2 linked regions of the Canis lupus familiaris genome follow. The protein of the gene in region 2 interacts with the protein of the main gene of each other region in a pairwise test. Links are inferred from orthologs where the notes say so. Each region holds a gene or a part of one and is shown on either strand. Other genes may lie near its edges. The genes, in order: ARMC1 and MTFR1L.

The links.
Region 1: the proteins of MTFR1L (region 2) and ARMC1 interact in binary tests that used the Homo sapiens proteins (3 or more experiments, as listed by UniProt). The two-hybrid records come from large-scale screens. The link is inferred for Canis lupus familiaris from reciprocal best matches to the Homo sapiens genes MTFR1L and ARMC1.

What each region holds. Positions count from the first base shown.
Region 1 is NC_049250.1:15,786,872-15,790,682, forward strand, and holds part of ARMC1 (armadillo repeat-containing protein 1), read right to left. Parts: intron 931-3,811; 5' UTR 893-930; coding exon 710-892; intron 1-709.
Region 2 is NC_049223.1:73,526,795-73,531,164, forward strand, and holds the start of MTFR1L (mitochondrial fission regulator 1-like), read right to left. Parts: upstream 2,929-4,370; 5' UTR 2,776-2,928; intron 2,376-2,775; exon of another isoform or gene 2,217-2,375; intron 1-2,216. UniProt on the Homo sapiens protein: Mitochondrial protein required for adaptation of miochondrial dynamics to metabolic changes. Regulates mitochondrial morphology at steady state and mediates AMPK-dependent stress-induced mitochondrial fragmentation via the control of OPA1 levels.

The sequences.
Region 1 (3,811 bases), on a different chromosome or scaffold from region 2:
AATAAGCAGATAAGGAGAATGTGGTATTTCTCTGCAATGGAATATTATTTGGACACAAAAATAAATGCAGTATTGATACATGTGACAATATAGATGAACCTTGAAAACGTTATGCTGAGAGAAAGAATTCACAAAACCCACATATAACATGATTCTATTTATGTAAAAAAATATATAGGCATTTTTGCCCAAATAGGCAAATACAGAGATAGAAAGTGGTTACTTAGGGAAGGAGGTAGGCGGTTGGGGAGCAATAGGTAGAGAAGTTTCTGAGGTGATGAAAATGTTCTAAAATTGACTGGGTTGATGGCTGTGCAACTCTGTGAATACATTAAAAAACAATGAATGATACACTTTGAGTGACTTGTACAGCATGTGATTCAGACCTTAATGAAGGTACTACAAAATAAAAATGGAACAATAAATATCTTTTTAATGTGTCTATCCATACTGAAATGATACAGTCCAAGATTTCTTATGAAGAAAGTTGCAGAACATTCCATGCAGTATGCTACCATTTGTGTCAAAGGACTATACACACACATACGTGTTTGCACATATAGAAATATACTTACTACTATTTACTCTATAGTCTACTTTTTTTCTCTATAGTCACTTTTAATTTTTACCATGTCATCTAACACTTTTTCAAAATCTTCTGAATTGCAAAATTATAACACTGAGACTGAAATTACTAAAGGCAACTTACGAGCAAAGCTGAATGGACAACAGGGGGGTTGGGGTGGTCCATAAATAAAATAAGGCCAGGCAGACATCCCTGATCCTGGACAATGGCTCTTCTATTTAATGGATCTGCTGCTAGATCCCGTAGCTGGTTAACTACCGAGAGAGCATCAGGTTCTTCATTCATGGTGGAGGACGAAGAATTCATCTTCTATGCCATACACATGAACCAAATCTTCTTAAATTCTGTAGAAACGGTTTGCAAAATTAGCTCTAGGCTGCTGAGGTACATTATGGCATTTGTTAAATAATCAGGATTACAACACCTTTAGAAAGAACAGATGAATCTAAATCACACAAAAACGTGAGACTTGGCAATTCCACAGTTTAAGTAAAATGAACATAAGAAGCTAAGTAAAAAAAAAAAAATCAAGTTATTTATGTGCACAATATTTAAAGAACATATGTCATCTTCAATATTCCAATAAATTCCATTTTAGCAATACATATTTTAACACTAAAGTCATAATAAACAAGATCTTTACAGTTAAAGCTCATAACCTTCACTATACTTCTCAAATTCTACCACTGCCAGTGCTTTTTTCTAGAACACTTCTGGAGCCTACAAGAAGTGTCTCAGGGAAAGGTGTCGTCTAGCTGAAAGCTTTTTTTCGTATTCATCTATGAACAAAACCCAGCATACTGGGCTTACAAAAGATAAAATCCCCTAGGAAAAAGGAGGGAGTCAAAAAAGGCTATGAACAAGAAAGCCAAGAAGGGTATCTCATATTTCACCCTGTGTCTCAGGCCCCAGGAGTTAGAGATCACAGTGAATCTGAACTGAATCTGTAATACACCTTTTCATCTCTGAGTGTGCCATATTCAGAAGAATGGAACACAATTTGAGGTAATTCATTTATTTTTTTAAGACATTTATTTATTTATGTATTCATGAGACAGACAGAGAGAGGCAGAGACACAGGCAGAGGGAGAAGCAGGCTCCATGCAGGAAGCTCGACGTGGGACTCGATCCTTAGTCTCCAGAATCATGCCCTGGACTGAAGGCGGCGCTAAACCACTGAGCCACCTGGGCTGCCCGAGGTAATTCATTTAACAGATAAGGAAACAGTCACAAAGAAGTTAAATTATTTGCCCCATGTGACAAAAGCTAGTTAGTATAAAAGTGTGCTAAAGGGATGCCTGGGTAGCTCAGCAGTTGAGTGTCTGCCTCTGACTCAGGACAGGATCCCAGGGTCTGGGACTGAGTCCCACATTGGGCTCCTTGTGGGGAGCCTACTTCTCCTTCTGCCTATGTGTCTGCCTCTCTCTCTCTGTCTCTGTGTCTCTCATGAATAAATAAATAAAACCTTAAAAAAAAAAGTATGCTAAAATCTTATCTCCTAATCAACAGTCTTTCCACTTTCCATTGTCTTTTTGTTTACTTTTCTCCATACAGTACTTTAAAAAGCAAGAGTTGGAAACTCAACCACCTGAGCCACCCAGGTGCCCATCCATACAGTCCTTTTAAATTTGCATACCTTTCTGCCATAAAAGTAAACCTTGATATGCTAGAAAATGTAACATGTTAAACATACAAAAACCTAAGAAACAAAATATCAAGGAATAATCTTCATTTGTGCAGAAAGTTAAAAATAATAATTTCCATTAACCAAGTTACATAGTATATTCCTATTAGTAAAAATACTTTCCATGAATCAATTTAGTGCCAAAAATACTTTCCATGAATCAAAATAAGTTTAGTGTCAATTTCAAAAACAATACCAATTAGGGGAGGAAGGGGCAGAAATTCTTCTGTTACTCAAAAGACTATTACAGGTTATTTTTTGGGAAGAAGGTAATAATGCATAACTGACCTCACCAGATTGAAATATACAAAGTTATAAATAGTAAAGCGGGGGTGGGGGTGGTAGGGGGGGTGTTGGTTGAGGTGCAGTAGGAAGGTATTTCTCCCAGGAAAGTTATTTATGCATTCAATATAAGAAAGCAGGCTCAGTGAGTCAGACCAAGGCTCCACTACTTGGTAAATGTGATTTCAAGCAATTCCTTTACTCTTTTGTCTCAGTTTCTTCATCTGTAACATAGGGCTAATCATAGCAGCTACCAAAGGTGTATGATCTAGATATAATGACAATATACAATGTGCCTAGCACATTGTAAATGCTCAATACATAACAGTGTTAAGTTACATGGAGCAAAATATTAATAAAAAAAATAGTAAGATTACTCAATAAATGGTACTGGAATGCCTTCTAAGCAATTTAAAATCACTGCTAAGCAAGTTTAATTTATACCACATGGGTCATCCCTGGGTGGCTCAGTGGTTTGGCGCCTGCCTTTGGCCCAGGGCGTGATCCTGGAGTCCTGGGATCAAGTCCCACATTGGGCTCCCTTCATGGAGCCTGCTTCTCCCTCTGCCTGTGTCTCTGCCTCTCTCCCTCTCTGTGTGTGTATCTCTTGTGAATAAATACATAAAAATCTTTTAAAAAAATAATTTATACCATATGGCAAAAGAAAACCATACTCAAGATAAAATATGATAAATTTTAAGTATACAAGCAAGTGCAAAATAAAGGACTCAGAGGAAACAGGGCTTTAGCAAGACAGAATCTGACAGTTATTTTCAAAATGAAAATATGATAGTTACTGTGGCAATTTTAAAAATATTTTAAAAAAGCAATAGACTGAACACACAGAGATAAGATTAACAGGTTTGGGGGCATGCTGCCTCTTATGTGCCTCTATTATCAGCATACTCAATATCCCTGTTTACAAACCACCTTAACCAAGAGCTTTACGTGCTGTTACCAGCACAAATCTTAACCAAAGTGGAACCTGAAGAACCAATTACTGGCTAAAAGGTCCAAGAACCAAGTTACATTAAGAACCAAATACGCTGGAAGAGGTCCTTTTGCATTCACTTCTGACCTTGGAACTGGAGAGCTCCATTCTTATCGGAGTCCTTTGATAACTATTCAGTGGGAATAACGCTGAAAAAGTTATGGCCTTCCCTGTTCCTTTGGGATGAATAAAAGCCTAAACTTAAAACTTCCAATCTCCAAAGCCCACAGACAAGGAGAGGGTCCCTTTTAGGATCTTCCAAGGAAAA
Region 2 (4,370 bases):
ACCCAGCCTAGCACTACTGGGTCCTGGCAAAGGGGAAATGTAAAGTAGACAATAGGAGAATAAACAGCCAGTTCTTGTCAGTCTCACTCTACTGGGCTACAGGGAAAAGAGCCAAAAAATTTTATCCTGCTTAGCCGTCTACTGCTCTTATAGCCTTAGGCAAGTCCCATAACTTTTCTGAATGTTGGTTTTTCCATATGTAAAAAGAGGACAAGAGCTCCCTTCCTAGATTACCTTAAGGATCATTCAGTGAACTAGGGGATTTTAAAGTGCTTAATGAACTCCTGATTGGATTCTTCACAGCTGCTCTCGTCTGGTGAGCAGATGCAATCAATGAACTCATTCTCTTGTTCATCAAATGTAACAATACCTACTCTGTGCCAGGCCCTGAGCTGGGTACTGCAGGGGCTATGGAAGGATGCTCTCAAGGAACTCACAATATGGAAGAGAAATAGGACTTGAATACAGAATTCTAGTAAAGACTGAATATCATTGCTTAAGAAAGGTACATCTAAGCAGGTGGCCAGGTGGGTACAGGCCCCTGACCCCAAGGCCTCACGGCGAGTTTAAAGGGGTAGGAAAGGATGGAAAACAGCAACAATCGTACAGGTCCCAGACGGGAAGTGAGAGGGGTGTAAAGAGGAAGAGAGAAAGGTAAACTGAGGTTCAAGTCATACGGGCTGGGAATGCTCAGGGGAGAAGTCACTGGGGAGCCAAGGGCAGGTTCTGAACGGGACGGACTGAAAACTCCTGCAGGATTTCTCTCTCACCTGAGGGAGAGGAGTTATCACTCACTTCCCTATACAAAGGAAAAGAAGCTGGAGAGAGGAAGTGTCTAAGGTCACTAGTGGTCATGCTAGTAGAAAGCACTTTAAGTCTGGTTTAAATTGTGCTGCCGTCTGCGTGGGCTCAACTCCCTGCAGTTCAAGGCTTTTATCGAAGTCCCTCTGTGTGCCAGGCTCTGGGCTGAATGTCGGTGCCGCCACAAGCTCCACAGAACTTCTGTTTCTCACTCTGGACACTACAGCCACTTCCTCTCCTCCAGACTTCCCCCCAAAGACTCATTTAGGCCTAACAACAGCCAGAGCCGTCTTTCTAGGACACACTGCTCCTGTGTTTAACACCCCCACGGCTCGCTGCAGCCCACAGAGTACCATCTAGACCCGGAATGGCCTGCAGGGCTCTCCACAATCAGCCCCACCTCACTAGACCAAACTCCAAGGCCCCCCGCACCGCTGGACAGCGCACCTCCCGGCTCCCCGTGCCCCTCAGCCCTTCAGCCGAGCGGACCGCCTCTCCGCCCCCATCCACACTATCCTCTCTGCCTCAAACACCAGCACCTTCTTCACAAGCTCATCACCTCTGCGTTCCCACAGTCAGGTCCTTACCGCCCCTCTCCCCCAGCGCCCCACGTTTCCTTCTGAGCCCTCACAATGGTAATCAGAGCCCCGTATCTGCTGCCTGTCGCAGGGCAAAGGCTTCCCAAGGCGCAGCACCGGAGCACGAACCGAGAACTCCGGTTGGGCCTTCACCCCCCTCCCCGCCCCAAGGGTCCTGGGCTAGACTTCCCCCAGTCCGCTGGCAATGCAGGCTGGTTCTCATCAGCCCTGCGCGCCCACGACGCCCCTTTCCAGACCGCCGTCATGGCCTGTGCACACACGCTCTCCCGCAGGAGACTCGGGGCTCCTCCAGAGCAGGGCCTGCGCTCATCCCTCCGGGCCAGGCGCCCCGTCGAGGCCGCGGCGCTCGGTGGAACTTGGCGAGCGACAGCCTGCGTGGGCCGCACTGGGGGAGCCGCTGCGGGGACCTTGCCCGGGACACGCCTCCCCTCCCCCGGAACGGCCCGACCCCACGGGGCCAAGGTCGGCCAAGTCCTCGCCGCCGGCACCGGCGGCCCTTGGACCCGCAGGCCCGGGCGCTGGTCCCAGAAGGAGCGAGGCGGCCGCAGTGGCCCGGCGGGCCGCGGAGTGCAGCGGCAACGAGAAGCCTCCGCTGTCGCGCGGCCACCGAGGCCGGGAACTCCGGCGAGCAGCTACCCCCGGGCACCGAGTCCTCCCACCCTCAGCCGGGCGAGGCGGACAACACCGGCTCCCGCGAGAACTGGCGCGGGAAGAGGAGCCGCGAGCTCCGCACAGCGCCTTGCGCTAGGCCGCGTCGACAGTCGGGCGGGCAGACCGCACTCCCGCCTCCGAAGCGGCACTCGGACCTAGTCTCACCTCAGACTGGGCTCCGGGACTCACCTCACGGCCCCTCCTACCGCAGCGGGCAGCCCAGCCTCAACCGCCCTCACTTCCGCTGACCCGCCCCCGGAAGCGATCCTTGGCGGCTGCGCACAGGGCAGTGGCCCCGCGCGCCCTCGGGAGGCGGCCTCGGTCGGGGCGGGGCGGCCTCACGGGCGGACCCGAGGAGGGGCCACGCCCACCGCGGCCACGCCCACCCGCGGCCACGCCCGCGCTGGCCCGGCCTCTGGGAAAAGTCGACGGCGCCTGGAGATCCCGCGGCCGTCTGGGCCGCATCGCCGCGGGTCTGCGCCTCGTTGCCGCTGTCCCTGGGTAGTCCTGATCCCACCTCTAGCGGCCGACGTTTGGCCACGTCGCCCGCGCCCCAAATGGTGTGGCGCCTGCTGTCCACTGGAGAACGGCCGCCCTGGCGTTGCAGGCCCCCGGACCGACCCCTGGCCTTGCCTCATCTCGCCCCGCTCCGCTCCTCACACTTCGTGCTTCCCAGCCAAGGCCCTCCACAGCCTCCTGGCCATCTTTCTCCTCGGACTCCTACCGTAGTAGCTGTCTTCTGCGTATCCCACACGCACAGGGCAGATTCGGTGAGATAGGCTGGCAGGCAAGAGCCCAGGGGCATTGGGAAAGGGACCCGCTCTCCTTCCGGACGCCCCTCACCCGCTCCCTCTTCTTGCTTAAACCCTCACGGCCGGGTCCTCGTCCTGGTCTCCATGGCATCCAGGCCTGGGTCACGTGCCCTCCTCTGACCTCAGCAAACAGCTGTGCCTGCTCCCAGGCTGCGGTTCTTCTGTCTCAGAGCCTGCAAGTCCTAGCGGCCAGGGACAGGCTGGCTTCACGGGGGACAGTTGTGGGCAGTCACACAGGGCCTCTTGCTTGCATGCTCTACTGTTGCCCTCTTGAAACTATATTATTTATATTCTTATTCTACATATATGTATATATATGTATAAATATAAAACAAGGGGCACTACAGTTTTCATTTTGCACTGGATGGATCCTGCAAGTTACATAGCTGTCCTGGCCAGAGACCTCAGAGTTGTCCACCCAGATCCTATCCCTGCTTAGCATCTTTCCTTTCCCCATTCTTCGTCATCTTTTTTTTTTTTTTAATTTTAAAGGCTACTTAAAAAAATAATCTTTTTTTTTTTTTTAAATCTTTACACCCAACATGGGGCTTGAACTCACAACCCTGCGATCAAGCCACATGCTCCTCCACCTGTGCCAGCTAGGCATCCCTTCTTCACTCCTCCTTATACAGGTTTTCCCTGAAGTGTATTCCCTCCAAAAAAAAAAAAAAAAAAAATCCCTAATGCCTGTCTTAGGCTCTGCCTCTAAGACATTGGGTAATGAACTTCAGAATCTTTCTCACCATTCTAAAAACAGTAGTAAGTTCTACTACTAGGTCTATCACAAAGTTCTTTAAGAATGCCACTTAAGGGACACCTGGGTGGCTCAGCAGGTGATCCTGGGATCTGAGGTCAAGTCCCACACCAGGCTCCCTGCATGGAGCCTGCTTCTCCCTCTGCCTGTGTCTCTCATGAATAAATAAATAAAATCCTAAAAAAAAAAAAAAAAAAAGGAAAAAGAATGTCACTCAAGCCCTCTAGTGACAGAAAAGATAGTCCCCAAGACTTTCCAGCCATGCTCCCTTGCCCATGTGCCGAGCCAATTCCACAGAGGAGTCAGACCAAGGATAGAACTGACCCATAACCCGCTCAAAGGAAAGGCACTGAGAACCATCCTAGTCTCTCCAATTTTATTATAGGACGTGTGGGGAGGGGAGGGGAGTACAGATGGGTAGCAGGAGGGGCCTGGAGGCCCTCCCCCACCATGAGCTTCAGGGCACAGTGGGGGACAGGAAAAGGTAGGAGATGAAGATGAGAAAGCCAAAGCAATCAGTGCCTTACAAGGGACAAGGACTGCTCACTGTGGGGCGGGCCCTCCTGGACCTGCACGAGGGGAAGAGCCTGCTGGGCATCGAAGCAGAGTGTCTGCTGCCTCCGTGTGGCTCATGGGATTGGCTGTGGCCACCCATGCCTGGAAGCGCAGAGACAGACCTACGTGCCCTCCCTCCAGTAAGGGGAGTGGAAGCACAGCCTCCCAGAAGGACATGAACTTGGCTGAGCTTGCTGG